2 linked regions of the Schizosaccharomyces pombe genome follow. The protein of the gene in region 2 interacts with the protein of the main gene of each other region in a biochemical or structural test. Each region holds a gene or a part of one and is shown on either strand. Other genes may lie near its edges.

The links.
Region 1: the proteins of rad55 (region 2) and sfr1 form a complex in vitro, tested with the Schizosaccharomyces pombe proteins (one study listed by BioGRID).

What each region holds. Positions count from the first base shown.
Region 1 is NC_003423.3:1,574,900-1,590,155, reverse strand, and holds sfr1 (DNA recombination mediator Sfr1), read right to left. Parts: upstream 9,701-15,256; 5' UTR 9,469-9,700; coding exon 8,569-9,468; 3' UTR 8,276-8,568; downstream 1-8,275. Other genes in the region: upstream binding transcription factor, RNA polymerase I specific, Hmo1, read right to left, coding at 1-575, 768-797; ngg1 (SAGA complex subunit Ngg1/Ada3), read left to right, coding at 1,814-3,469; transcription factor TFIIA complex large subunit Toa1, read right to left, coding at 3,739-4,728, 4,770-4,871, 4,917-4,934; hrd3 (HRD ubiquitin ligase complex subunit), read left to right, coding at 5,912-8,053; ERMES complex subunit, membrane tether and lipid transfer protein Mdm12, read left to right, coding at 10,208-11,029; SPOM_SPBC28F2.05C (xylose and arabinose reductase), read left to right, coding at 11,151-11,981; Prp19 complex subunit Cwf7, read left to right, coding at 12,147-12,180, 12,220-12,749; ppi1 (cyclophilin family peptidyl-prolyl cis-trans isomerase Cyp2), read right to left, coding at 13,339-13,827; translation machinery associated protein Mep33, read right to left, coding at 14,751-15,256. UniProt on the Schizosaccharomyces pombe protein: Involved in DNA recombination repair and meiotic chromosome segregation.
Region 2 is NC_003424.3:2,059,254-2,075,501, forward strand, and holds rad55 (DNA recombination mediator, RecA family ATPase Rad55/Rhp55), read right to left. Parts: upstream 8,662-16,248; 5' UTR 8,512-8,661; coding exon 8,496-8,511; intron 8,452-8,495; coding exon 7,415-8,451; 3' UTR 7,189-7,414; downstream 1-7,188. Other genes in the region: fpb26 (fructose-2,6-bisphosphate 2-phosphatase), read right to left, coding at 1-1,224; sac12 (inositol polyphosphate phosphatase), read right to left, coding at 2,553-4,388; eisosome BAR domain-containing protein Pil2, read right to left, coding at 5,600-6,751; SPOM_SPAC3C7.04 (transcription factor), read left to right, coding at 9,511-11,862; mug191 (alpha-1,6-mannanase), read right to left, coding at 12,651-13,979; serine/threonine protein kinase Pit1, read right to left, coding at 15,041-16,248. UniProt on the Schizosaccharomyces pombe protein: Required for radiation resistance and meiotic viability and acts in recombination and recombinational DNA repair pathways.

The sequences.
Region 1 (15,256 bases), on a different chromosome or scaffold from region 2:
GCCGTAACTCGACTATCAGCAACTGACGCATTTTCTTTAGAAGCATTATAAGCAGCCATTTCTTCTTCGTAGGCTTCTCGAAGTTTAGAAGCTTCTTCTTCGTAAGTTTTCCGATCATCTTCAGATAGCGAGCCCCACTTTTCATGCATCGCTTTATTCACCTCTTTAACATCGTTACTCTTCTCGCCCAAAGACTCCTTGATTTCCGATCGTTGGTTCTTCTGAAAGAGATTATAGGCTGATGGAGGGCGCTTTGGTTGTGCAGGATCCCTAGCCTTGCGCTTGTTTGGGGTCATGGAGGCTACAGCTTCCGACGTATCGACTGCGGAGGTTGCCTCAACAGGAGCTACTGCTGCAGGAGTAGCTTTCTTAGGTGAAGTTGCTTTTTTAGAAGGAGACTCAATTGCCATATTAATCTCTTTCTTCGCATTTGATGGATCAGTGACGGCTGGCTTAAAAGGTTTCGAAACCTCGGACTTCTCTCCTAATATCGAAGGAAGTGATTCTTCGATCTCACGGCATGCGGTTAAAGCTAACTGAAAAGCTTCCGCCAACCTTGTGAAAGAACCAGAAATCTAAGACGGCAATTTGTTAGATAAAAACCAAAAACCAAGCGGATAACTAAAGAAAATTTTGCATTTAATCATCAAACTTTTCAACCAATTAAAAAAGATTATTTTTAGTAAATACTTGATTTAAATCAATTTTTTGAATCATAAAACATTATGTTGGTTCAAAACACCAAAACTCTTTAAAATATCACATACCTTTTCCAGTTGGGTTGAGTTTTGAGCCATCGTACTACTTAAAAAATATTCAAAGTTTCTAATACAACTAAAGCTTCAATACGATGGCAAATACAGGAAATGGTGGCTGACCTACCGGGGTGATGGCGGGAATTTAAATCTTAGCGGTTATGACGGTGGGTGGTTGGTTAATGCTGGAAATGCGAAGCAGATGAAATTGCTTCAGTTAAACCCACCAGTTCGGTTGAGCTTTCTTCACATTTTATTATTATTACAGTTTATAGTTATTTAATATATGTGACAATTGTTATTGTTGAAATTACGATGGTTCAGTGAGATATTTCTTCATGTGATTCTGTTGAGTGATATAATGAAAATTACAAAAGACAATTGTAGTAAATTAAATATATAATAGGAAAATATGAGAAAATCTACAACCGAGAAAAATTTTTTTTTTTTTTTTTTTTTTTTTTCTTTTTCTAATCTCAATCCACTAAATTTGCTGAGACTTACAGTCAAATAATGTCCCATAAATGGAAAGAATAGCAATAAAAACATCCAAAATTTAAAAAAAAAAAATGATAAAACATTTTCTTGTAAATATTTACCTCTTAATTAAGTATAAACAAATCCTATTCCATTGACTCGTAGATCTATTTCATGATATCTTGTGAAGCTGCAACTCTGTTTATCTAGTTCTTGCGCTAGACCAATTGGTTTAGAAACTATTAAATTTAAGATAAATTTAATTTTAAACAAACCAAAGATCACTTATAGTGTTCAAAATACTTCGCAAAGCATATTGCTTTTGCGATGGATTCACTATGAATAAAATATATTGCTGTTTAATTTGGTTTGAGATATCATATTCGTAGCAATTCAACGCTGTTCTTGATTAATATTTCTGAGCACCGTTATAACAATGTAACAAGTGGTATACTAGACTTCGCTAAAAGTACGCCATCATCGAAATCCGGTATAAAAAATCACCACCTCAGTAATGAATTTTTTCGGGGGAGAGAGACATATGTAAATGTTGTATTGTTCACGATTTAAATTTTTTTGGGATGTCCTCCGAACAACAAAATGAAGCTGATTCGAAACCCGCGGTGATTCCTCAATGTTTTAAAATTGAAAATCAATACGAGACCTTTTCCCGTCTGAGTGAAACGTCAACTCCTGGTGTTGTACCGTCTGTGTCGACATTATGGCGGCTTCTGTTTGAGCTGCAAAAAATGATTGAGTGTGAACCGTCTTGTGTAGAATATTTTCGCCAGCGCAAAGAAGAGTTAGAGTCTCATGTCGATTCTGAAATAGAAACCTCAAAAGACGAATCGTCGGTTAATAAAGTGGAAGAAAAAGTAGAAGAATTTAAAGAAGACAACGTTGAACAAGAAATAAAGCAAAAGCGTTCTCTTTCCGAAAGTCCACAAGAGTCTATGCTAGAAAAAGTTTCCAAGAAGCCCAAAGTTTCAGAGGCCCATAATGAAGAAATCAGTCCCGAAAATGTGGAAACAATTGAGAATGAATTAGATTTACCGGTTAAGGGTAAAGATGAACAGACAACTGGGTTGGTATATAAAAACGCAAACGATCTTCTAACCGGTTCATTACTATCTTTCATTGTTGACGATTCCTTCTCTTATGAACAAAAAAAGAAGCTTTTATGTGTAGATTCCTTTCCAACCAGTGATGTACGATCGTTGGTGGCAGGAACTCCGGCGACTGATGATTTTTCTCACAACAAGCCAAATAACCAGATTTCAATATCAACCTTTTATTCGTCACTTGACCCATATTTTCGTGCTTTCAATGATGATGATATTGCTTTTTTAAAAAAAGGATTTGACGTTTCGTCTTCCTATAATATTCCTCCTTTGGGGGAACGCTATTACGATTTAACTCCGGAAGATGAAATGACCAACCTGTGTGCTAACTCAATTTACCAAAACCTGCAAACCTCTGCTCAAGGATCCCTTGAAGCTTTTAATGAGGCAGATACCGTCTCTGAGGAAGTTAGGTGTGGTCCACTCACTGAACGACTAATGGCTTCATTAATTCCTTGCTACACGCAGAATGATGAGGAGCAAAAACCTTCTATTGCTGTTGGCGAATTTGCGGAAACCGATTCTGGATCCGAGAAAAGCAAAATTGGTACAAGCATTGATGGAATCGAGTCAGGAAATAATGAATATACAGAACAACCGGATATACAAGAGTCGAGTCTTTCAATTTGTGAGGACCGCCTTCGTTACACCCTAAAACAACTAGGTATACTTTATGATGGCGATGTAGATTGGTCAAAGCGACAGGATGATGAAATTTCAGCTACCTTAAGGAGTTTGAATGCTCGTTTGAAGGTAGTTTCTGATGAAAACGAAAAAATGAGGAATGCGCTGTTACAGATGCTTCCTGAGGAAATGGCATTTCAAGAATTCCAAAATGTGATGGATGATCTAGATAAACAAATCGAACAAGCGTATGTCAAACGTAACAGAAGTTTGAAGGTTAAAAAGAAACGTATTGTTACTGATAAAATTGGCTCTTCAGCTACGAGCGGCTCTTTTCCTGTCATCAAATCATTGATGGACAAGCGCTCAATGTGGTTAGAAAAGCTTCAACCTTTATTTCAGGATAAGCTTACGCAACACCTTGGTTCGCCAACTTCTATTTTTAATGATTTATCGGACCACACTACATCTAATTACAGTACATCTGTATGAAGCGTTTAAAATTTGAAAGTGTATATACTGTAATTCTATCATTGTGATCTAATTTAATTGCTTGCTTTAGTGAATAAAATTTGCATGAAATAATAATAATACTTTTAACCGTAGAATAGATTGATGTGCTCACTAAAATATGATAGGAAGATTACTTAAATGCACTTATAAACATGATTCATGAAGAAAACAAAAAGGCCAAAAAGAAGAATGATTGATAGATAAAATACGTCCATCACTTTTTGAAGCAAAACACCTAAAGTAAAATTTTAAATCCATTCAAACTCACCATTCGCCTTGAAAAATAAGTAATCTTTTCCATTAACGCCAACTACGCCATCTCTGAACACACATTTCCATTTATTTTTGTGGTGGTTCACTTTGTCATAAAGACAAAGAACGATAGCCTGTCCAATATCAGAACCTTCTTCAGTTTCGGGAGCCTCATCTGAATCAGGATCGTCTAAATCTGAGTTAATTGCTTCGTCAGAAGGCGTATCAACAGGTGGCTTTTTTTCATCTTCGTTATCTTCTATAGTGCCGTCAATTTGCAAAATGCGATTCTTTTTCAAAACTTCATAAATTTCAGCATCAGCTTTCTGTGCAATAGCAAATCTATTACTTTCAAAATTAGAAGGGCTCCCAGCATCATCTAGATCATGAATAGCACCATCGGTTTGAGGCACGTCATTACGAGAATTAGCAGGGGTGGTATTAGAAGACTCTGTCTCTCCTAATTCAGACTTTTTCGGAGAGTTTTGATTGGGAAGTAACAATCCGCCAAATGAGTTAGTAGATGAAGAGTCGGGAGCATGTTCTTGGCCCGTAGAAGTTACATTTGCAGTCGAATGGTCGTTGATAATCGGTGAGTCAGCAGTTTGATTAGTGGGCAGTTGCAATGAGTTAGAGCTGTAAGAAGGGAAGGGGGCAGTATTATTAGGGTTGGACTGTACGTTAGGTATTGCAGAGCTGTCAAACGAAATATTTGTTGCTGACTGGGGGAGAGAGGGAGTAGGTGGAGAATAATAATTTGAATTACCATGTTGCTGCGCAAATGTATCCATCTGCTGAACAGCACGAATAGCGGCTATATTATTAAGTATGGGAGAGTTTGCAACAGCTGGAGCAGTAACATCTAATGAATCTGTCCTCAAGCCGCTAACTGGATCAAACAATTGACCAATGGGAAATGTGCCAACAGGAGCTTGTGCCCAAGGAAAAGTTGCAACATCGGTAGCAACTAACTTGCTTTGCCATAACTGTTTTATTAGAAAAAGACCTAAACTTCATAAAACCGTACATTTTGTAATTCTCGTAAAGTTGCATCATCAACACCATTTTCTTCAAAATCGCTCCGTGAATTAGCAATCACGTCTAATATCACGTGGTGATAGACCTCACCCTTGATAAAAACATTAGAATAACACTTAAAACAATACTAACTTACGACGATCGAATTGGACATTGTGGTGCAGTTGGATGCGTAGTTCGTAAAAGGATACTTAGAAATAGCGGTAGGTGGACCGCCGCCTCAAATAAGGAGATACAAGGAAGCGATACATTCTCTAACGCGAAGAAATATACTACAACAATTATAGGCGAGTAAATAAAAAATCAAGTACATGTCTTACTTCTAGTAACAATGCGCCGCTATCAATCACTCTGCGTTGCTGTTAAATGTCTAGTAAAGTGGAAAATTCAATTTTTTACTGTAGACTTTTCAAGTTTGTGAATACCGAAATTGGCAATATTAAGTGATATCTTTTAACTGCACAAGTTTTCATAAAACTAACGTGATAATTTAGCTTATTTTCTATAACTAATTTCATTTTGTAAATTTAAAGTAAAATGATTTGTTTTAAGTAAAGGTGCTTGGTAAAGCAACAATACTAACATAATATTTAGCTCAAATAAAATCGGCTTGAGAATGAAAGATTTAAATAACCTGTATATTCGGTATTTGATACGAGTTTTACGACAATAAGACGATATCACGAAATATCATTACTATTTGCGATTATTACTCTTCGCCTGGTAATATTATAAATTATATTACAATATGGTGTGTATTATCATTATCGAGAAAGCGATCCTGAATGATTTATTTGAGGTTATGATAAAGATACGAGTACCGAAAAGGTATTTTCTTTTAACTTTGCTAGAAAAAAATGATAATTTTGGAAATTTAGGTTAAAAGACAACAGACAACAATTGGAAGGATGAATATTTCTGACACCATGTAAATGTATTTACAGTCTTCTATTTACAAGCTTATTGTTATTCAAACAACTTTGCACTTATTCAGCTTCCAGCGCTATTTCTTTAAGCCCTCCATTCAGGTAACAGAGTCACCGATGATATATAAACTCACCACTTTGGAAATTGAACGGTTCTTTTTAGGAGGGAGGACGGACAAGAGGCACACTTTCAGTAATATTCTTGATGCAGTTGCTTAACTTCCTTATATGTCTGTTCTTTATTTTTAAAAGATGCGTGTTTACGGTAATTGGTGGTGAATTTTCTTATGACAACATTGATAAGAAGCCAATTCTCGTGGCTTCGTATCCTGAAGGGTCGAGGTTTAATGTATCAGCGTCTATTAAAACGCTTCCTGATTTAGTTACTTTAACATTTCCGAAACTCGTTAAAGATCCCGGATACGTATATGAAGAAGCTGAAAAAGGAGATCCGGAATCACAATTTTTAATTGCCATGCTGTACGCCATGGGGCCTGACGAACGCTTAGGTTTATCGTTTCCTCGAAACGAACCGTTGTCTCGAATATTCCTTGAACTATCGGCCACCCAAAATTATACGTATGCTTTACTTGCCCTTGCATATAAGCACCTTAATGGACTTTCTACACCGATGTCTGTGGATAAGGGGGTTGAGCTTTATAAACAAGTAGCTCATCAAATATCATGCTTAGTTCAACCCTTGTCTCATTTTGCTCCTGATATAGCAGCAGAATATCCGGTTGACCTATATGATTTATCACGTACTTCAAGCTATAGTGTTCAGAAAAAAGATGACATCGTTGAATACTTAAAGGACTACGCTTTACGTGGAAATAATATATCGGCCCATATAAGCCTTGCTACGATTTACCAGTACGGAACTCCTGGTAAGTTGAAGGATATAAAATTAGCAGTCAAACATTATCTTGCAGCTATTCGTTTAGTAAATTCTGGAATTCCAGATTCTCCTTCTGAAGCTATAAAGAGTATTCACAACAATCCAAGACATGCGCCAACCACGAAAGAAACTGCTAACAGTTTATCAATTGCAGCTTTCAGGTTAGGCTGTATGGCTCTACATGGTGAACTTGGCAAACCAGATCCATCTCTTGCGTATGCGTGGTTTGAATATGGTGTATCCTTAAATCATTCTTCCTCTAAGGCTGCGATTGCCTACATGTACTTTATGGGATATCCTGTGGCTGAAAACACTGAGTCAATCACAAAACTTTTAGAGAATGCATTGGCTAGCAATGATCCTCTTGCTTTTGCTGTAGCTGGAAAAGTGTCGTTAGCGAATGGTCAAATAGATGAGGCTACAGTACATCTGATAAGAGCTGTATCTAATGGGCATCTTGAATCTGTATTGCATATTGCTGATATATATTATGGTTCCAATAATCAATTGTCAATAGCCTACTATGAAAACTTTATTTCTCGAGTGTTGGAATTGTTCGACGTTAAGACCATCTCTTTTGATCCACTAACTAGACACTTTGCTCATCGCCTTTCCGCCGAGCTCGGTAATTTAATGTCGCAAATTTTGGCAGCAAAAGATCGAGATCCATCTACTTCTTACTTAAAAACCGTCATTTTTCCGACAAATGAACAAACTCATCGTAACGCACGGATTGCGATGAACTATTACTCTCGTGCGGCAGCGAGAAATCACATCCACTCGCTTATAAAAATTGGAGATTTTTACAGAATGGGTTTGGGTACCTCAGCAAAACCTGAATTGGCTTTTTCTTATTACTCTCAGGCGGCTGCCATTCATCCTTCTGCATTGGCTTATTGGCGTCTAGGATGGATGCATGAATATGGAGTAGGTGTCCCAGTGGATTTTGAAATGGCAAAGAAAAACTATGATAATGCTTTAATGCACGATACACGAGCATTTTTGGCTGTGACCTTGGCACGTTTAAGAATGAGGCTTTCTTCTCCCGACAGTTGGTTTTCTAATATTTATCGCATACTTGGAAAAGTCACTTACAAATTTTTGAAGCTTGTGCAATATTTTATTATAAATATTTTTGACATACTAAGCCCGGCAGGTCCGGACTCACAACTTCCCCCAGAACCACCAACACTACAAGTAGATCGTACACCACAACAACCTGACCCTCAAGAAACGTCTGAGTCCTTGCCCTCGCCTAATACTGAAGAGATGGGTGAATCCTATAATGATATTCGTTTCACTTATGATTACATTGATGGAAGGTTTTTGGAGACTGCGTGTGTCACGCTTATTGTGGTAGTTGTCGGACTGGTTTTAATGAGACGCCATCAACAGCATCGACTTCAAGAACGACGTGAGCGAATCATCCGTAGACAAAACCGCGCTTAATAAAAATTGTATCTTCGATTTTTTTGCGTTCTAATTTAAAATTTTGTTGCTCGATGGATGCAGAATAAAAAATATATGTATGTTAGGGTTCGTCGGTGATTAAATCATGCTTTGAATAAATTTTGTTTTTCATCTTTCAATTGGTTGATCTATATTTGTTGTCTGTCAGCCAATTAATCGACTTTTGTTGTTTGAATGTTAAATATCTCCAGAAAAAATTTAGAACCAGAAGGTTCAAAATCAAGAAATTTCAAATTAATGAGACATGTTATTGTATAATGCTAATAATTATATAAATTAAAGTCATAAACTCAGCCTGGAACGATTCATTGTTACATGTAAAGAATTTCGATACCAGCTCGGCGCAATTTGTATGTAAACGATTAAGGTACCTCTGTACGTTCAATTAGTATACCCTTGATTTTGGTGTAAGCTAGCTAAACATATTTAAGTTCGTACTAAAGGTTTTCTAACTAGTACGAACGAAAATTTTTTTAACAATAGTAAGGAGTCCTTTACGATTTCCAATCACCATTTTCTTCATCAAAAGACATCAAATGAACAGGAACACCAAACTGATTTAGAAACATACTCATTGTAAATTCAGTTCGTACTTCCTGAATTTGCCCTTTATTTTCACCTTCTTCAATACGAAAGGACTGAGTAACACCTCCAGCCAAACGAATACGTTCAGCCATTGGTTTAAAAAGTACTTCAGCGGCTTGCTGAGCAGCATTTTTCCATTTCTGTATCAACGTTTGCAAGTCTTTATCTTCATTTTTGGCTTCAACCTTTCGTGCAGTTTCGGCGGTTATGAGCTGCTCTTGTAAATTTCTGACTTCTTTTTCAAGTTTTAAACGACGAGAAAGCAACTGTGTGATTTCAGGGTCGGACTTTGGATTAAGGCAATTAGAGATAGGTGACTTGAAAAGTCGTTTTTGCCGTTTTATTGAATTAGGCGTTGTTCTTAAGGGAGAAGTAACAGGTTCTGAAGAAGTGTTTGTTTCATCAGAGTTAAGATTTGTTACAGCTAACGATGGTTTTAGATTAGTGTCTGCAACTTGAGGACTGGCAGTTTGTCTTAAGGGGCTTTTGAACGGCTTAAGAAGTATATTTTTGGCTTCTCGAGCCCTTTTCTTTGAAAAAGGTGTAGTAATTGGTAAAGAAGTATGTATTTTTGTATCTCGCAGGTCCGGCGTCAAAGCCTTCTCATTCTCTGGATGTACTGTTTCTGACTGCTCGATAAAACCTAGGTTATCTGAGTGATTGCCACTGTTATTGCATTTAGGAGGGTTTTCTATTCCTAACTGACCCTGTGAGTCACGTAAATCACTTTCGCTTAGGGAAACTTTCAAATCTTCTTTACACTGTGAAGTAGCATTTTCATTGAGTTCAGAGTTAATTGTTTGCGACATTTTCAGTTAAATCGTTTTAAAGTACTAATTCGAAGATGAAAGAGTGAATGTTAAATTATAACAAAGATGCAATGAAGCGCGTAACTTTTGTCAACAAACGCGTTGAGTGTAATAGTTGAATGTTTAAACTCTAACTTCAAATAATTAAATGAATTGAATATTAATTGTTATAGAAATGAAGAAATACCACAAATTCCAGATAAACGTTGAAAACGTTTTACTAGCAGAAGGTGAAAATAACAGCAAGCAACAAGAACTTAGGTAGAAGAAGACTGAAGCACATGACTGGTGGTTCCAAAAAATTAAATGTTTATACAAATTACGATAGTAATAAACTAAAAGGTTTATTAATTTACAAATTTGTTTTTTAACCTTTTTTAAACCGCGTAGGCTTTGTTAGAAGGTAATCTGGGAATACCACCTAACTCTACTGACAATACTAGGAGAAAAGATTTTGGTACCTACAGAAGGTAATATTTAAGATAAATAGATATCTTAAAAATTCACTTGCAATTCTCGATGAGTAAAAAAGAACATTGAAGGAAAGGACATTAAAATTGCTGGAGGATTTTGTTTAAAGTATCAAATTCATGCCGTCTTCGTATAAAATTTAGAGAACCGGTTTAAATATTATTTCATTAACCAAGTTGACGAAGAAATTACTTAAATTTTGAAAACTTGCTACAATCGTCATTGAGAGATTCAAGAGTTCGTATTTTTTTTTTACAATTGCAGAACAATGTCTATTGACTTTGATTGGTCAAAGTTAGACTCAGAATTAGAAGCAAAAGTTTTACATCTTCTCGAAGGACAAGTTTCGAATTTGTCGCTACCATCTTATATAAAGCATTTAAAGGTTGTTGACTTCCATTTCGGCAAAGTCTCACCTCAGATTACTATTCAAGAAATCGGCGATCCTGATCCCCAATTTTATGAAAATGAAGCTTTCGAATTAGCTAACCAAGAACTAGAGGGTGATCAATGCTCCCGCAATAATGTTTCACCAGTGCTTACGGATCTTCCACCTTACGCTGCTGAACATCCATTTTCAAGACTAGCATATTTTAATCCCGCATTTAATTCACCCGGGATTCTATCTGCAAGTGGACTCACAAGCCCAATTCCTGAAAGTCGCCCAAGTACTCCAATGGATAATCATCAAGAAAGAGATCGTTCTAACGATTTCCAAGTTACTGCACACGTATCTTATGACGGAGACGCAAATCTAAGCCTGGAAGCGGTTCTATCGATGAATTACCCGAACTCTGAATTTGCAGTTCTTCCATTCAAACTTTCATTTATTAGGATTTCCATCGATGCCATTGCTGTTTTGGCTAAAATGGGAAAGCGGACGCATCTATGCTTCGTTGATACATTGCTGCACGGAACTGGAGAGCATGCATCAAGTGTTATTCGAGATTTAACAGTGGAAAGTATTATTGGAGAATCTAATAAACAGCTGCTAAAAAATGTTGCTAAAGTCGAGAAATTTGTATCGGAAAAAGTTAAACGTATTATTGAGGATGAACTTGTCTGGCCTAGCTATATAACCATTGAATAATTCTTTACAATTATCCTAAATATATAAAAAATTTCCTTTAATCTCCTACTTAAAGGTTTAGGGATTTAGAAAATATTTTTGTCTATACATTGAGCTCTCTCATCTACCTCAACTTACGTTAATGAAACCATTTTCTCCTTCTCAAACCAATTTTGAAAAGGAACAACTTTGCTTTGGTGTATATCAACTTAAGGATTGCTACCAGCAAGTAATTGAGGCACTCTCGCTTGGTATTCGCGTAATTGATTCAGCAATTACATATCGAAATGAAAAAGAATGTGAACAAGCCATTCAAGATTTCTGCCATCAAAATGTGAATATTAAACGTGAAGATATCACCTTAATAACTAAGATTCCTGACTCCTTACAAGGATTTGAACGTACCTGGAAAGCGGTCGAACAGTCTCTTCGCAGAACAGGTCGTCCAAAGTTAGACGTCGTGCTAATACATTCACCAAAGTGGCCCGTACGCCGTATTGAGTCTTGGCGAGCACTATTGCAGCATCAAAAAGAAGGAAGGATAAACAAAATTGGAGTTTCCAACTATAATATTCATCATTTGGAAGAAATTATCAGTCTTGGGTTGCCCCTTCCAGCTATTAATCAGGTCGAATTTTCTGCATTCAATAACAGGCCTACTTTTCTTTCTTACTGTTTTAATCACGGTATTTTAGTACAGGCTTTTTCACCGCTAACAAGAGGATATCGTCTTAGTGATATTCGACTCTTAGATTTATCCTTAAAGTACAATAAAACACCGGCGAATATTCTTCTTCGTTATTGCCTTCAGAAAGGGGTTTCACCAATATTCAAAGCTTCGTCGTTTGTTCATATCCATGAGAACGTGAAGGCTGAGCAATTCATGCTTGACCCATCAGATATGGATGTCATGGATACTTGGGATGAAGAATTCGTGAGTAAACCTACTTGGAATCCTATTATACTTCCTTGAAACATTATAAAAATGATTTTTTGTTAAACTTATATCTCATTGTATGTAGCTTATCATAAATTATGTCTTTGTAAAATATGTGGTATCTCCAAAGTGCTGAGCACTAACCAAATACCAACCACGAACGTCTAATGGAGAGGGCGGATTTTTTCTGGATTGCATAAAATGAGTTATAATATATCTTTGGATTCATTACCTTGTAAGTTTTTTTTTTATGTCTTCTAATCAAATTATTTAGACTTTGAATCTACTTATAACGAAGAAGATAGATCAGCAGCTGCTCAAATTGTTGAGGAGGAGCTAAAGAGATCTGGAGGTTTACTAATTAAACAAGAGGAACAGAAAAAGAAATTTCAATCCCATCGTTTATCAGATCGACTGGAAAATGCCATTGTTGCGGCTGGAAAGGGAGAAAAACTTGCAGCCATCGACGTTCAACGCTACATACAGCTAAAACCACCGGGAACCCGTGAAAGCCTGTTGCAGTCCGCTGTTGTATGGGAATATCAAAAATCTCGCAATGATAACCTTTATTTGCTAGAAAAGCATGGAGAAAAAGCATTTGATAGTTCGTTGGAGGCTTTAGAAGTTCAGCTAGAATTATTAGAAAAAGAGTTAGTAAACACCAAAAAACTTTCGCAAGGATGTAATCGTAAAAGGAAGCATTATCAAATGGAAGTGGGTGCCCGACTTGCTGAAGCTGAAGTAAAGTTTGGACAATTGCTGCAGAGCAGCATTCAGTGCCGTGTTGCTACTCTCTTGTCATAATATCAATTTGATTGAACGTAAATATTATCCCTAATGAATATCATAATCAGAGTTACATTCTTGCGTTAAGGTAATTCGATATAATCCAGGGTGACTAACTTAAGCTTCCTTAGCACTATGGACTTCTATGTAAATAATTAAACATGCCTCACATCAAAAAGACTCCCGGTTTTCGTTTAAGGTTAGGATTACTTTTGATAAGAGTATCCTAGTAAACAGTTAAATGTTAATACAATTACTACTATGCGCGTTATTATGGGCCAACCAAGTCGTCGATTTTTTAACTAAGTTACTTTTTGTCTAACCTCAGTAATACGTACTTTCTTGATTATATGCTATGGATCGTGATCAATAGCTATAAACACTTCGTCGCAGCTTCCTTGTTACTGAAATCTTATTATTACTTATACGTTTAACAGCTGAATGATTTCTCTTAATTTAAAGTTTTTCTCTTTACATTTTCGAATACTTTACAAAAATTTATCGCAAACTTTATAGGAAAAATTGTCGTTAGATGAACTATGACTATCTAGGAACCAATAGTTCTTTTTCATAAATGCATCAACGAGTAAGTTAAAAAAGCACAAGCTTAGACGGTACCACACTTGTCAATGACAATGCGAGCACGAGTAGCACCAGAGTTAGAACCCAAGCTTTCAACCTTCTTGACAACATCCATACCCTCAGTGACCTCACCGAAAACGACATGCTTGCCATCTAACCAGGGAGTGACAACGGTGGTAATGAAAAATTGAGAACCGTTGGTGTTAGGACCAGCGTTGGCCATAGACAACAAACCAGGCTTGTTATGCTTCAAGGCAAAGTTTTCATCAGGAAATTTCTCGCCATAAATGGACTTTCCACCGGTACCGTTACCGCGAGTGAAATCACCACCTTGGAGCATGAATTGGGGAATGACACGGTGGAAGGTGGAGCCAGCATAGCCATAGCCCTTCTCGCCGGTGCAGAGAGCACGGAAGTTAGCAGCAGTCTTGGGAACGACATCGTCGAATAATTTGAAGACGATACGTCCTAAAGGTTGGCCGTTGGCAATAACGTCAAAAAAGCAGTTGGACATGTTGACTAAAAGTGGTTGGGAGAAGTTGTAATTCAAGATGTTTCGCTTTTATATATGCTGGAAAATCGAATCTCGAATTTTACCAAATATATAAAGTGGATTGTTTCAGAAAAGTTATAAGAAAAGATTTATGTATTTAATTCAGGTTTTTTTAACATCGTATTTTTAATGAAATCATCCTTCGTTCAGCCTTCATTGCGTCCTGACTTCACTTGTTCTTTCTACGAAAGTCTGAAGGCTTCTTGTCATTAAGGAAACGCAACAAAGCTACGCAAGTTTACTATCGTAACTCTTTAACGAATATTTGAAAAATTGGTTAATTTCTAGATAACGCGGAGTTTTGCATACTATTATGTCGTTAATTAAATAGAAGTGAAAATCAGTATGCCGTATATGTAAACTAGTAGGATACTCTCTCAGTTGTCTGCGCAATCTGCATAATCAAATTGTTTTGGAATCATGTATAAAAATTCCCATATACGCATCTCAGGCTGGTCGGATGAATTCGTCACTTATAATACTTACCTATTCCATATTGCAAAATGTCTCTACGATATGTCTGACAATACTAAGAAAAAAATGGAAGTTTAGAGGATTGTATACTAGCTACACGACAACTGTTCACAAATACAAGTTTACAAAACTGCAAAATAAAATATAAAAGACGAAAAGTGAGTCATCAGTTCGAAAAAAATATATATATGTTTCATTCAGAGCTGGCAAAAATGAAACCAATAAGCCAAACGAACAAAACAAATAGGCAATATGAAAAGTAAACCTTCAGAAACCCGATGTAAAACATAATGAAAATAATGTATAAGCTAACAAGACATAAAAAATGGAGTAGATTTTAAACAAGAAAAGATCATTTATCACTTGTCTAAAATCCACATTTGAAAAAAATAATTAATAGCCCAAGGACATTAAACGGAAACGATAGGAGCGGTGGCATCCTGAGCTTTAGCCAAAGCTTCTGTTTCACGACGAAGGGCAGAGAAGTCCCAGTCTTCCTCATCACCAACCACTTCGTGAGTTTTGTCTTTGTTGCTCTCAAAGTATTCACGGCCACTTAAGTTACTTCTACCAACAGCGCGGTTACTACGGCGCTCTTCAGCTTGTTTGAGAATACGATCTCTCCGACCATCACTCCATTTTTTAAAGTTTTCTTCAGTTACAGGGGTAAGATTAGGCCCTAATCTATGGCGCTCAATCTCAATAAAGGCCTCAAGACTAATTTCTTCTTTAGTATCATCCTTTTTCTTGTCGCGACTAAGCACGTAGCCATAAGGAAGAGCATGTTTGTAAATACAAGTCATATTACCATTCGGACATTGCCACAACCATCCATATTTGCCAGTTTCACACGCCTCCAGAAAGAACTTACAGACGATGTCCGTATTAATCCAAGGACGTTTCTCAAGAGGCAAAT
Region 2 (16,248 bases):
ATGTTTGCCGCGTTGAGTAGAAACAGCAGAAATGGGGACTGTAACACGCTCCTCTATCGTTTCGTATGTCATTGGAGTGAGTTTAATTATTGTATGTAAAGGAACATTAATAAATGGTAATTCCTCAAGTGAAAGATTATGATAGTATCCATAAATACAACGAAGAATAGCTTGATGACATATAATAAAAACATCTCCCTGTCGTTCTAACTCCATAATAATCGGCTCTAACCGCCTTACTACGTCCATATAAGATTCTCCGCCACGATATCTGTAATGAAATTTATCATTATTTCGCAATTCGGCTTCATGAGGAAAATTCTGTTCAATATAATCATAAGTAAAACCATCACACGTTCCTGCATCTAATTCATCCAGTGCTCTCCATTCGAGCTTTTGGCAATTAAGGTGTCGAGCAGTTTGGATAGTCCTAGCCATTGAAGATGTCCAAACCGTAAGTCCTTTTTCACCTATCGAAAACTTAGCAACATATTCAGGAAGAAGAGCAGCATATTTTAGTCCTTGAGGACTTAAGCTTGAGTCACCACCTATTTTTCCTTCAACATTAAATTGACTTTCACCATGTCGGCTTAGCCAAATACTTCGTCGACGCGTACGCAAATTAGAGAGATAATAAACAATCCTAGATTCAAGGTAATTTTCAAGTTTATGAACTATCAGTTCGGCTCCAAAGTCCACAATTCTAACGAAAGTACATTCTTCAGCCTCGGACAAAGGTGTGTAGTGTTTCTCATACTCATGAATACTATCAAGGATTTTATTCTTCGATTCTTCGAACGGAAAGCTTTTGAAATATGGTGAATGCTGACACATATCAGTAATGTTTTCATCGATAATTTTTTGATTTGTGCAGACAACCTCGACAAACATTAAGAGCATATTCCGCGCTTTTGCCAACTCCACTATACTTTTCCGAAACTTTAGTGTACATTGGTTAAAATCAAGAATCGCAACATCAGTACCCTTTTTAAAAACGCTCTCCAGATTATCGAATATGGGGCTAAGAGTTTTAGCTAAATTCTCTGAATCACTGTTAGAATTTTCGGACAACGAATTATCAATTTCTTTCGTATCATAAAGGTGAGTAGAAACGGACATCCATGTCAAATATCTGGATAATTTCATTGCAGAAGATGTCTTGCCAGATGCGGGTAACCCCACAAAGCAAACACATAGGCCCAAAAGTCCTTCAATGTCTTTCATGTTCGATCTTAATGTAAAAAAGTTAGTTCTTAATTTAAATTTTGGGTGTGGTTATGTTGCAAACAAATATTAAAGAATAAATCATAAGAATATGACCAGGTTGCTAATCCTGCCAGAATCGGGTTGAATTATTAAGTGAATATGTTAAATAATGAATATATGTTAAAGAGTCGTATTTCGCTCGAAATGTATGATTCGCCTTGAAGAGCTTGATGGACGGTTTGCAGTACTCGTACTTATGTTAAGTATCCTTAGAGTATGTAGTGAACTCGTCAATGCGTTAAAAAGCTATAATTTTTAAAAAGAAAAACGATTAAATTAATAATATTTAACAGAACGGCTTAAAATATACAAGTTCAGAACATTGCACTCCTGCTAACATAAACAAGAGGGGTATACGTGTAAGTTCAAGCTTAATATACTAAATTGCAGGTCTTCGTTACGCAGTATTATTGCGAGAGATGTTTACGCTTCCGTAAGCTACATTAAGTGATCTCAAGTCTTTGACTTGGTACTAGGAGTAGTTAAATCCACTATTAAAATAATATTCAAAATTAAGTGTGAGCATTTCCATTTCTATAAGCATAATTATGCTAAGCTGATTGTAAAAGTGTATATAATCATTTTCGTAATATTGTGGAGTTTTCATACAAAAACTGTCGGGTAAGGCATAACTTCATCATTTTTTCAGTAATGTGAATTGTGAATTAAGATTCTGGATTGGAAGTATTAGAAAACGTTGCTGAACTGTATGATCTTTTAAAAAATTCATTTTTATAACATGTTCATTGAAAATATTAAACCAGAATGCCCCTAAATTGGAAGAAGTATGTATCCTAAATATTGAACATGAACAACACTTATGAAATTGAAAGAAAGCTTGGCTTTTTCATATATTTCATTTACTGTTTAAAACCGAGTAAAACTTGAGTCAAAAGCCTCAGTGATTCAATGGTCAAAGTTGCCCAATATTTAACACTGACTTAATAAAAGTTAGAAATATTAATTTTGTCTGCTATATTTTTTTCGTGTGTTATCCATACTACAATAGTTTGTTAAGGGCTCTAACAATTATGAAAATCTTAAATTACTAATTGATATTGGTAGGAAGCTTGGAGCAATTAAAGAAAATAAAGTTACAATTACCAATCACGTAAAATGATCTGAATTAGTCACTTGATAAAGTTGGGTAGCATCGCTTTGTTCAGTAGCAAGATTGACATCTATGAAGTCTAATGAAATAAAGAGTGAACTTCGAGTGTTCAAAGAGCGTTTTCTGCTAATTAAGAGTTATAGCAATACTGTTCTTTAGTTATTGAAATGCACAGTTAGACACTTTTTTTGAAAGAGCCGGAACGCAAAAAACGAAACACTTTAAGAGTAATATTTCGGAAATGATTACGAAACGAAAACCAACCTCCCTTAGCATACGTTGGTAGTACTAGACGAGGCCAATTAACGTATTGTCTACGATGAAAATATAGGTAGATTCCAGCATTCACCATAGGGATAGAATATAACAGACGACAGAACAGACTTGGATTTCCAAATAATTCTTGTATAGTTAATATTATCGTGGTGAACAAAAAAATTCCAGGTGCCACAAATCTAGTCCAGTGAAAACGCAAAGGCAAGTCCGGAATCGAAAGTGAGTCGTAAGGACGAAATACTCCAAGACCCAAATCATAGCTATCTTGCAGCATACCGTCAAAAAAATTGTTAAGAATATATCTACGAAAGCAGTTTAATAAATCTTTGAAAGCTCCAAAAATGGTTCTCGTTCCATGGCGAGTCACATCGCCTTTTAAGGCCGGGGTACCAGTGTAGAGATCACTGATATAATCTCCAGTATTAGCCCATATTAAGCGAAAATCTTGTAAAAAACTATCATATTCTTCCAAACTCTCAGAGCTAGAAAGTACACCAATATCGTGTAATTGCATGTTTAGAATAAACTGTGCAATGCTAGTCTGAATGACGTTCGTCCGATCTAAGCAATCCATACAATTTGTCCTTACAAAGTTGGTTTGCATTGCAGTAGTTTTAGATCCATGCTCGGCATAATATTTTCCTTCTATCAAGAGACTTTGAATTTCAGCAAGAAACAAAGGGAGATTTCTACTTCCTTGCTTATGATAATCGTAGTAAACATAAGACAAAGGAGGGTTTTTATTTCGTTTACATAATTTTTCAAACCCAGACCGTAGAGGTGCTTCACGTCCTTTTTGGTCTAGAAGATTGACCACCACAAGATTGTCCCCATAATCGTTGGCAAGTTCTTGAAAATGCTTCCCAAACACAGTCTCGCTATAATCAAGAGGTTGTAAAGATAATAAAGGTCGATAATGAAGATCATTAACTTCGGCCCAGAACATGGGGATACTTCCTCGAATTTGAGTAAAAGAAAGAACCATTTGTTCTTCAAGGGTGATGGGTGATTCGATCATTATTATTTGTTCAATTTCATTAAAATTAGCAGCACTTCCTTGTGCGTTTACACCTCTGGTGAAATACCGCGTACCCGCATAGTCAGGAGAATGTCGTGTAATAACACACAGTCTAAGGTTATAAGTCTTTAAAAACGAGTTAGTAATGGCGATATTACCCTGAATCATCGGTTGAATCCATTCTTGAAAGCCTAAATCCTTATTCGTCAATTCAATTAATTCATGAAATGCATATTTATTCCAAAAAAAGCGGTAATTATATTTTGATGTCAGTTCAAAAGATTGGGTTAGTACGCGTAATCTTTGAAGGGAACAGGTTAGATCTAACGTTGGACTAAAAAGTATTTGGCCTTTTGACAAATGTTTATTGAGCAAACTGATATAATGTAGTTCTTCCTCATCTTTAATATTTAGCAGACCCGTGGAGAATGGAAGAGTCCTTGTAATTGGGAAGATAGCAAATTTCCTTGCCCGATAAATATTGTTTCCGAGAATTGCTGCATGCAAATCACAACTTGTAACAAGAACTACATATTTGTATATTTTCAATCGAATAAATCCATATAACTGAACGTTATTATAGTCAGGTGTCTTGCTGAGATCAAGAGAATTGCTCAAACTAAGGCATCCGTCGACTCTATCTATTCGAAGAGAAGCTTTTTTTTTGGAACATGATAGATAAATGCTGTCTGGAAATACTCTAACGTCCTGATTCATTATTTTGTTGTATTTGAGAAGCGTAGATGCTTTTCTGCTATAATGAACCCCGGACTAATGTATTTTCCAAATTAGGTCTCAAAAGTAAAAAATGAGAATGCTATATTTACAAAAATTCAAATCAAACTCTTTAATGTCCATGAAACGATTTTTGAAGGCTTGATTTCCAACGCAGCGCCTGAGTAACGAGTTCATTGTTACCTGAAGGTTTATGCAGCACGTTTTACAAAACGAACTTTCAGTGACAGTGTAATGTATGATATTATTAACAATTCTCATTGCACTATGTAATGATACGTAAAGTATCGCTATTCATTGTACCTTTGCTTTACAAGATAGGTCGTCTGGTGATGCTGATACTCCCCAATTACCTATATTAAGGCTGAACTACAAACTATAATTCGAAGAATAGGCAAACGAAAATCATAATACTGTATGATATTATTGATTTTGAGAGTAGCAAAAATAATTAATAATTCATCGTAGCGTTTTTCAGATATCACAGAAAACATACCATACTCTATCGCATAATCAAAATAGTTTACGAGCCTTCTTTGACTGCAAGTAACATATAGGCAATGTCGCTTTATATTTTGATACATAATTTCTATAAAAGTTAGGTGTTATATGATAACCAACTCTTCGAAAGGAAGCATATGTTTTGCTTTAATTAAGCTTTATTGATATTTTTACCGTTGTTAAATAATATATACTAAAGATCTGACCCAGTTGAATTTGCTATCTATGTTGTATTGCTTTTTACTAATACAACCGAACTGCCAATTTTTACATAAATATTTTATTAAATCGGATTGAGAAGTAAAAATTATAAAATCATACATTTAATAAAATCCTTTTTCAACACAAATAATCTCCATTGTTAATTAATTGCTTTAACCAACAACCTTGTTAAGCCTAATTTTGACCGCAGGAATTAAAAAAAAACACTAAATAAAAACAAGATAATTAAGAAACCAACATCTGCGAAACATAAAACTCGGTGGAAAATAAATATGGTTAAACGACATAGACACAAAAACAATGGTAATGAGAGTAACGTGAGTATTAGTTCGATAAGCATGCATATGTAGCAATAGCAAGTGCTTAACACGTGCTAGCAAATTATGTGAATTGACATGACAAAAAATTCACGTCAATTGATGAATGCGTAAGGATCACCAGAAATCGCGTGAATACACACCAAGACTTGCTTAAGCAGCAATAGGTTGTGCACTAGTGCTAGGCATAGACGTTTCAGCAACGCCTTGAGATCCTACTTCTTCATCATCCTCCTCGCCAATTTCAAAGTTATCAACAACTTGGGTGCTTTGAAGAATGTTTGGTTGAAAACTAGGTTGATAATCTTCTGTACCCATTTGAGAATATCTTTTACTACCTGTAGAGGTGTAAGAGTGTGTAGTGCCGGAAGTAGTTACACCATTCGCATGAGAGTAACGGCGTGGAGGTTCATTGATTACATCTGTGCGAGGAACGACACTAGCTTGAAATTGTGTTTGATAATGACTTTGAGAAGGCAAACCATCAATGTCGGTAAGGGGTTCAGGAGTTTGGAAAGGATTTTGCCAATTAGCCAACTCACGTTCAGCCTCAACAATATAGTCACGGGTTATGTTGTAACCATCGTAAATAGGGCGAGGCTCACCGGGAACAATGGGAGTATCGTCCAGGAGATCGAGGATCTTCTTGGCATACCCGCAAAGAATAGCAACCTTTTCAGAATGCTCAAGTAATGTACCAATATGAAGAGTAAAAGCACGTTTAAAGTTTTCGCGGGTAATGTTAGTTAACTGCGCTTCTGCAACCAAACACGCAGCTTCCTCACGAACTAGTTCCTGTTCCATAGTAATAAGCTTTGGGGACTCAGGATCACGGCTTCTAACATCATAAATGGAGTTAAGTAGCTTTTCTTTCTTAACACGGGTGGGTTGAACGCTAGCCTCAATATCACGGATGGTCTTCAGACTAACACGATATTGATCGTATCTGTCTACCATATGCTCCTCAAGTTCGCCAATTTCATATAAAAGTACACCAAGCTTATCACTGATATCGCTAATATCATCATCGCAATCTTCACCCCAATACGAAAGTTGATTGGCACATTCTTTGCGCTCCATGGCAACGTTTTCATAAGATCGAAGTAAATCCTTTTCCATCTTAACGAGAGCTGCAAGGCGTTTAGCCATTTCGGGAGTAAACATACCCACAGATGGATAACGGAATTGTCTGCCGAGTTTATTAACATTTACTGCACGACGGGTAGTAGAGGGAGGAATTTGATTCTGTTTCGCTTTAGGAGGCGCGCGAAGCGTATGAATAGAGTAAGATGGTTGAGTGCCCATCATCTTGCTAATTACTTGATAAACGATTTAAGACTTTGAAAATATGTATATATAAAAAGAGAAAGGAAATACTAATAAAAAGGTTAGTATGTTAATTAGAGGTAGGTTGAAACAATGTTCATTAAAACATACTTAATCCGCCAACTCACACTAGACAAAGCGAAGTATAAATAAGGTCAGGCTCAAAATGGACTTATTAGACTACACTTTCGAAAGTAACAAAAGAGCTGTAAAGTTCAGGTAGATTTTTAGCGACTTGAACCCATGTTTTAAAGATTTGAGCTAGGCTTGAGACGTCACTATGTCAACATGGAATTTATATGTCGAAAGCATAATGTCATTATTGTCCGTACACTGAATGCGACACCTAAACAATTGAAAATTAATAAGGACTTGTCAATCAGCAAACATATAGATATCTTAATCATTTCCCTCCTCTATGACAATTAGCAATTTCATAAAAATGAACGAACAAAATAGCTTATGATACATTATGAAAAGATATGAGATCACAAATAAATCATTGAGAAACTTTTGACCAACACTCGACAAGTATTCATAGTTGTTTATGCAACGTAATGAATAGGTATAATAAATTAATAGATATGGGCAAAACAACCATCACTATGCTAAAAAATTCGTAACTGAAGCCACCATTTTTACCTAGGACTCACATTCCAAAATGGATCTCTTACGTCGTTGTGAGCTATTGGTAGGAATACTTTGATAATCCTGAATACCAGTAGATGTTAACTGAAAAGCCAACTCTGATTCTGCAGAATGAGCTGGTGGCTGCTTTGCCATGAATGCATAGCGCAGAAGCTGATGAGAGGGACGACTCTGTCCATCTTTTGATTCTTCAGTTGAATGCCTACTGTAAAGAATGAGCCGATAAGATAGATTATCTAACCAATTAGTGCTGAGAAGCGGTATCAACTTAGCACCTATCCCACTAACAACTTTTGAAGTCATCTGGGTGGTAACAAAGATAGCCACATAACAAGAGGATGTAATTTTGCTTAACAAAGAACTGATTGTACCGATTGCCTTTTTTCTGCGGTTTATTGTTGTTTTGGTAGAGGAGTTATGAAATGCAAAATTCGAGTCGTCTTTACTCGAGAACTCATTTTCTTTGTTTAACGTCAAAGTGTTTTCTTTTTGAGATGAATCTGAAAGGGAGCTTTTTTTGCTGGTATTACGACGAAGACGTAGATAAGCATAATCTTCTGGACTGGTTGGATATGCAAGTTGAATAGGCATTGATAGGTTGTCAATAATTAATAATCCAATTTCTTTAAGATGTTTTTCTTGATCGAAATTTCGTAAAAAAGCTAGAATATTCACTAAATTGGGTGCATATACAACATCGAGAAGATTTAATAACTCATCAGTATCGCATTTTTCCTCTTCATCTTGGGAAGAAGGGACGTGATTGTCTAATAGTTGACGAAGTCTCTCCATGGGAATTGGTTGACAAGTTTCGACCCAAATCACACGAGAACCGGAAAGAAGAGCGTTTGCAGTAATCTGTAAAGCCAAACTTGTTTTTCCCATCCCAGGTGCTCCACATACTTCAGAAATATACCCTCTTTTAAGACCACTTCCTCCAAACGCATCATCCAATAATTTTGAATTAAAGCCGAAACCTGGAGCAGAAAATGCTTCGTACGCACGAATAGCAGGTTGAGTCACTAGACGATCTAAAAAGTATTAGACACAGTTAGCTAGGCTGGAAGTCGCATACGTTGACTAGACAGCATTTATTTCAATGAAGGTTAAATCCAGCACAGTGCGACCTACTAGAATAACAGCGATACAGTTTATATTAAATTGATAACAGCATAAAAAGGATATAGGAAAATTTCCCTTTACATGAGAAACAACGATACGTTGTAAGGTTTGGAGGTGTTGGTAGAACGACAAAGGAAATCCTACGTGTTTTACTTTGCAATCATTTCATTAAATGTTGTTTCTTATAAGGAATAAATTATTTTAGTCTTAAGGTTAAGCAGATTAGAAGGTAACAAATTCGTAACCTTTATACATAATGGGAAATTTGACTAGGTAGGTCAACAGGAATGCAAGAGTAAGCTCAAGTTCATTTGAATCTATGATTCATTACTGCCTTTGACTTTGAACTTTAAACTTTGGGTTCATATAACGCAACATTTACATTTGTATTGAAACTCAAGAGGGTTTTAATCAAAATAGCTATTATTTTCGTACTACATTCCGTTTATGAAATAGCGTGTCGACCGATATGTGTGCAATTAGTTTACTATGTACACAATACTCATTTTATTGAAGAAATACTAAAATGGAAAATTATTAACAAAAATCGATTGCATGCCATGCTTCAATAAACGTATAAGCTCGTCAACGAAAAGAAATTGACGGAAGTTCCCATTTTCAAAGTACAATACAAGCAGTATTTATTTTTCAAAAATTTAAAATCGGTTAGATTTTTTCTTAAAGTTATGTATAAACAAGGTCTCATATACTAATAATATGTGTATATATTAGATTTCGTTGATAAAAAAGGTTCGTACCACTACACTAAATTACGCCCTCCAGTAGAACATAGGAGCTGGGGTACTACAATTTTTTCTTTTAGGCATTTACTAATCAAGTTCTGCCAAGTCATTGCCATAGTTAAGCATTTTCTCTTTTCAGAATTGAAATTCTGTAATATAGAAAAAGAATTTTAAATTTATGGAAATTGGTATGAACTTGGTATTTTACTAACATAAACGGGGAAAATGAGCCATGAATTTTCACCTGAAAATACGGCGGTTCTGTTCGAAGCCATGAAGCAGGAGCAGCATAATAGGAGACGTCGTGTTCCTATGGAGAGACGAAGAAGGGTGGTTCTAGCCTGCTTTAACTGCAAAGCCCGGAAAGTTCGTTGCGACGGGGCAAACCCATGCAAAGCTTGTGCTTCCAATAATTTGGAATGCACATATCCAGTAAAGGATGAAAAAGAAATGGATTATTCTAAGGACTACTTTATTGATCTTTCAAAAAGATACAAGTGTTTAGAATATATTGTTGAACGTCTTTGTTCCACCAAAGTTTCGACTTATACTACACCTTCATTGATTGAAGTTTGCAATCGTATAAGCAACCAAAAATCACTATTATCTTCAGATGTCTTTTCCCTCAATAGTGAAAGCACCAATAGTCAACGTGACGTGGATACCCTTACACAAGGTGCACTTGTTTGTTCACAAATTCAGCAAGATCCAACGGTCGTAGCAGAGGATACGAACAATGGAATCAATGCTGATGCTAGCGATCAAAGCGTTGACGAAATCATGAAATTAATTGGAAAAATAAAAGTTGACTCTAACGGCGAATCCCGTTATATAGGAGCTTCTGCTGGTGAAGCATTCGTTGACTCTGTTCAAAGTGAACTACTTGTCGATCCTTCTTTTTCCGAGCTGAGCGCGTATTCCCATACCCATCACAGTTATCCTCCGAATGAACATGATGTAAATGCTGTTCAAAAAGCGCTGAGTCTTCTCCCTCCTCCTGAAGTTTCAGATTTTCTTATCAAATCTTTCTATGGCCATGTTCAAGCAAATTTTTTCTTTTTCCATGAAACATTACTTCGTTATCGTTTAAACCTTATCATGAGCTTCCAAAATCCATCCGTTGACCCTGGCTTTCTTTGCTTGCTAATGATGATCTTTGCACTTGGTAGTATGTTTGCTCACATGGAAATTCGTTCTGCTAGCAATCCTTTTGACAACCCAGGAAAACAGTTTTTTGATACTGCTAGGCTTTTGTTACCACAAGTAATTCAGCAATGCAAACCAAGCTTGGTTCAGGCTTCCATACTTATGGGGTTGTATCTTCAGTCTACACTTTCCCAAAAGAGTTCCTATACTTACTTCGGACTTTCTTTATCTGCTGCTGTCGCAAACGGGTTGCATCGTAGCTGTGAAAATCCAAATATTGATCCCAAGACCAAAGAACTTCGTAATCGCCTATGGTGGTCGGTTTATACCATGGATCGCTTAATCAGTATTGCTACAGGACGTCCACTTTCTATTGCGGACAGCGAATGTGATGCGGCATTACCAACAGTAGTGCCTGAATTGGAAATAGAAGGTTCTGCTTCCAACGTTCATAATATCATATCTATGTCTAAAATTGCGAAAATAATGGGAAAAACTATGGAACAACTTTATGGAACTGTCAATTATAAAAAGAATCCAATAAACATAATTGAATCCCTTCGCGCCGATCTTGAAGAATGGAAGCGTTCTTTACCACCATTTCAGATTTTGGAAAATCTTGATGCTGAAGACCCACTTTTTCGTGCAAATGTGCATTTACACATGACATATGACCAAGCTATTATCATCATGTCTCGACCTGTTTTACTACATAAAATGAAAAATGCAAAAAATTCTCCGCGTGTCGATCGTATCAATGAAGACTGCATTTTAGCTGCCAGGCACTTAATTTCACTCGTACATTTACTTCAGAATCATTCTCAACTCTCTTGTTACTCTTTCTTTGACTATAATTATACCTTCTCAAGTGCGCTGGTGGTTTTGCTTCACTGTGTTACCGAACCTTGTGAAGAAGATGACATAGCAATGCAGTATGCTTACTCAGCTCTCGACTATATGGCAGAAGGGAATGAAGCTGCCAAGAATTGTGCTAGAGTTATTCGACTCTTTGATGCTCATCTCAAAGGAGCTCGCTCTGACGGTAATGGGAATACTAGCCAATCTGGTTTCATGGCGTGGCAGCGCTGGATCGCGGAAGTCTCTGCTAAAGACGAACCTGAAAAACTTATGAGTCCTTACAATAAAAGTATCGGTGGGGGAAGAAATAGTAATTCTTTGACTCCCAATGCAAATTTAGGTGCAGATGTTTCGTTCTTTCCAACTGATGATACATCTTTCCTTTTGGACCACAGTAAACTGGATGATGATCTAGAAAAGTTTGCTAGCACTTTGGATCCTATAAAGACAACGCCTGATCTTGCCAACGATTCATCTTTGTTAAACTGGGCTAATACCGATCAAGGCATGGATATCGAAGGTAGTTGGCTAGGTAATATGCATCCTACTTGGCTAGATTACGTTTGTCCATAACATTTTTGATGTTTCCATATTTATCTTTTCATTGACAACATCTGTAAAACATCTGAGCATATCGAGTTTTTGGTTTTTTTTTTTTCTACTAGAAGGCTTTATTTTTTGATCTCACGGATTTTATTCAATATCGAACAAAAAAGTTAAATTTGGTCAAGTTTGTTTTGCTAAAGAAGCAACATTCAAAACTGTTGGACTTAAATTTCATAATACTAACTATTTGTTTTTTATTATTTTATGCTTAATCATGATTTCTGTATGCGCTAATACGTTTTGCTGGCTGAAATGAATTGCACATATTACAGATTCCACTTCCCATTAGTTTTAATATTTCAATCATATCAAAACAAGCTTTTAAATGTTGTAAGTTACCATTGCAGTCATCAGAACGAATTCTGTTAATGGGCTTCGATTTCATAGCACAGGTTATTTGCTGAATTAAACGTGGAATACGTTACAGTTATAGTAAATAGATAATGATTTTTTTTATCTTCTATTGAACAAGAACGTCAGTGAAAAGTATAAAGAGATTAGTAGACTAATCATGTAAACTCGCTTATTTAGGTAAAAAAAAGTGGCAATGATGTTTGTTATAGACATAAATTCTCATTAAAATATATAAACAACAAGGGTTTTAATTAGAAAGTCGTGTTATACTGCTTATTCTTAATAACTATGCAAAATTTTAAAGCAATTCATTTGAAATTCATTTATTCAACATAAATAAAAGACGCGTTAAAGGGGAATAATTTACCTGATAAAATATTATAAGCAATTTGAACGGTTGCTCAAGAGATCACACAATCTTTATCTTTTTTACCATGGCTAGGTTGAGGAAGAGTTGTCGACTCACCTGAACTCGGGTTATTTCGGTTAACAATTTCTGCAGCAGAAAACAGCATTCTAGCAGCACCAGCACTTCCAATCAGTGTAGGACACAAAGGTCTTTGTTCCACTGGTCCTTCTTGTTGAATGCGTTCATCTTTATCTGGTTGAAATTGCTTGTTTGCATTGAAAAACTTATTGAACGAGGCTGTCAATTCGGGACTCAACTTGTAAAGACCAAAGTTGCGATAATATAGACCTTCCTTTGGAATACGTAAATATTTCATGAGAAAGTCGGCTTGATCTAAAACCATTTTTTGAGCAGGTTTTGCCAACGCAGATGATGGCATTGCATAAGAAAATGTCATTAAACCTTCGGAAAGATGCTGAGCAAAAAAGGTATTATCAGACCATACTTTAAAGCTTCCATTACATGATTGATCATACAATGGGCCATTGGTGTCCAAAGCACCTCTAGCCATATCCTCTAAGTACGTCGGAAGCTTTTCAATATCTTGCAATCCTTTAGTGAATTCACCTAGACCCATCAATAAAGACATGGCTGTCATAGTGGTACCAGTGTTATAAGTAAAGCGTGCCTTATCTAAGACCCATTTTCCGTCTTTCAAACTAAGACCGTCACAAACAATATGATTTTCATCAAGCAAGTTTTCCTGAATCCATCGAACACAATTCCAAGCAAACGAAACAAGATGTTGCTTTTTGTTAGGATCGTCCAACGCCAGAGCAAGTCGCAAAGCAGCAACTGCAGACATAGAAGTAGAGCAGGCATTTAGATTAGTCCATGGTGGACCAGTAGTACGGGTATGCCAAGCAATACCTCCACGTTGCTGATTCCAACCTTTGTTGATAATAAGCGAAATTATACTTTCTGCTCGACTAACATAATGATCGCGACGTGAACTGTTTGTAGTATAATAGCCAGCCGTAGCCAAGCCAATAGCTACCTGTGCATTGTCATCATAATATACGTCGTCATTTCCTTCAAAATAGTGAAAAGCACAACAGGCATTAAAAACGGGGGACCAATATTTCTTCAAAGCTTGGAACACATGTTCGAATTTCCGCTCAAACTTGCTGGTGTATCTTAAACTGTCTGCCATTGCTTCTGCATATACAGCCACGGACCAAACAAGAAAGATATGATCTTTGTCAATAGTGCCTGAACAGGCAAAGGCGCTACCCATTCTATCAGTGTACTTATCAAAAAAAGTTTTAAAGCATTGATCTACTACATTCAGCGCTTCGTTAAGGTAAACGTTTTCACTCATTGTAAACTTTTTATAATTCCTGGTTTACAAAAATTGTTCGTTAATAGTATATTCCTGAGAAATCGTTAAATAAGGCAAAAAAAATCTGCCAAATGTACAACTTGATATAAAGAAAAGAAATAACAGTTATTTAATAATGAACTTCCTGGGAAAATGTAACTCAAAAAGCAGTAGTTGTCAACTACTTAAAATTCATGAAATCGTACGCTTGCTTGGTCTTTGCAAGTAGTTATTATGAAACCTCGCTTTTCTTATAAAAAGTTATCTCGGGCAATTCGTAATTGGAAAAAGTAAGATAAACGCCTCACGGTTTCCTCAATAATTACATGTGGTAATTCTTGGTTATTGACGAAATGCTTCTCTGAGACGTGGTATCCAGCTACTCGGGAATATTGCGTCATATAAATTAACCTACTCAAACAAGCGAATTGTATATTTACTAGCTTACATGTGTATATGTAAGAGATAAAAGCACACAGTACATTTAGCAGTTATTTCTTCAAGTAAAAACTACCATTTTATATTCATAAAAATAAACATAGTATCGAGTGTTTATTCTTTTCTTTCTCCCCTTACAAATAGCTTTGGTATTGCATCTCTGTGCTACTGTGTTGCAAATATAAAAAATTAAGTAAAAAACAACTACTACAATTTTACGATTATCACTTAAATAGAAAATCAAAAGCAGCTTTCATCATTGCAGTTATATACATGTATTTAAAAATATGTAAGGTAATGTCATCATTTAGCGTTACCTAGACTACAAAAAATGCTAAATTAAGGCGAACAAAATTCCGGAAAGAAAGATAAACAAAATAAACGAAAAAGAAAAAAAAATAAGAAAAGAAAAGGTGATGCTAAAACAAAAAACATGTAAAATTTGCTTCTCAAAATAGTAAATTTGGAAGTGAAATAAATAAAGTAGTTGACAAAAGAGCGTAATTCAGGGAAGAGACCAAGGAATTAAGGGGAAATAAAAAGAAAGAAAGGTCGGCAAAACATGGAGAAATAAAAGGAAAAGAAAAGATTAGTGGAATAATCAAAAGTAAAAGTGTTATGAGCTAGGGAAGCAATTGTGTCGAAACGTGTGTTTTAGAGCGATCGATAATTTTCGAGTCGGGAAGTGTTAGACTACCAGCTAACGATGTGATACCAAAATCTGGAAAATCTCTGTCCAAAAACGTTGAGGAAATAGCTGAAGAGTCATTAGATAAGACTGTTGATGTACCACTTGAATTTGTATAGGCTAATGTTTTACGAAGAAGGTCCTGCGTAGCATGGAAAGAAGGTGGAGACTTGGCATAATTGTTCACAGTAGCCATATCACGGTGCAAATCTTTGCTGTGAAGTGTCGGTGAATGATTAGATGACCGGGGACTGTATTTAGAGGATTCACTGTTTACAGATTGATTTTCGCGCTTATCTTCGTGAGATAGAATCGATAGCTGAGGGGAAATTAAATCACTTAAACACGTAGAAGCAGAAAGTTGCGTACTACCAGACTTGGAGTTAGGAGAGTTATTCAACAAAGCTTCTTGACTTTTATTTATAGCAACAAGAAATTCGGTTGAAGGCAAAGGACGGTCAAATTCCTTCGCTTTGGGGGAAGTAGAATCTTCAGAAGATGAAATAATGAAGTTTCGTAACTTGAGATTCAAAGGAGTAGATGGGCGTATTTGGGGTAAAACGGGAAAAAATGTTGAAGAGGTGATACTATCAGCAATATCTTCTGACTCTTCAGAAAACTGAGTAGCCACTGAAGACTTATTTTTACGGTTCTTTGATTGTTTTCTTGACTTACGAAACGGTTTAGTAAACCCATTGAAACCTTTATTCAGCTGTTTAAGAAACTTTGAAGTTGAAGGATTGATCCTAGATTCTTCCTCAGTGTTACATTCATCTGGAATGGAACTAGACGAAGGGAAATATGATATTGAAACACGAAAATCAGTGTTTTTATTGACTTCCTCTTTACTGGCAACTGCATCAGCCGGTGCGGAAACTCGACAAAATTCTAAATCAAGGCACATTTCTGCAGTAGGTCGTTTGGCTGGATCCCACTTTAACAATTGGGACAACATTGAAGCAAAAGCTAAATTCCATGGTGGGGAAAATAAGTCTCCAAAGTCGAGCGGAGCCATTTTGGGTAGAGAAATACCTAGCTTATTAGCTAATAGTTCAGCTCGATCCCAGATACCACCTCCCTTATCTCCAGTATTCTGAGATTGCTCATCAGGGCTTCCAAGTATTTCACACATTTTATATAATT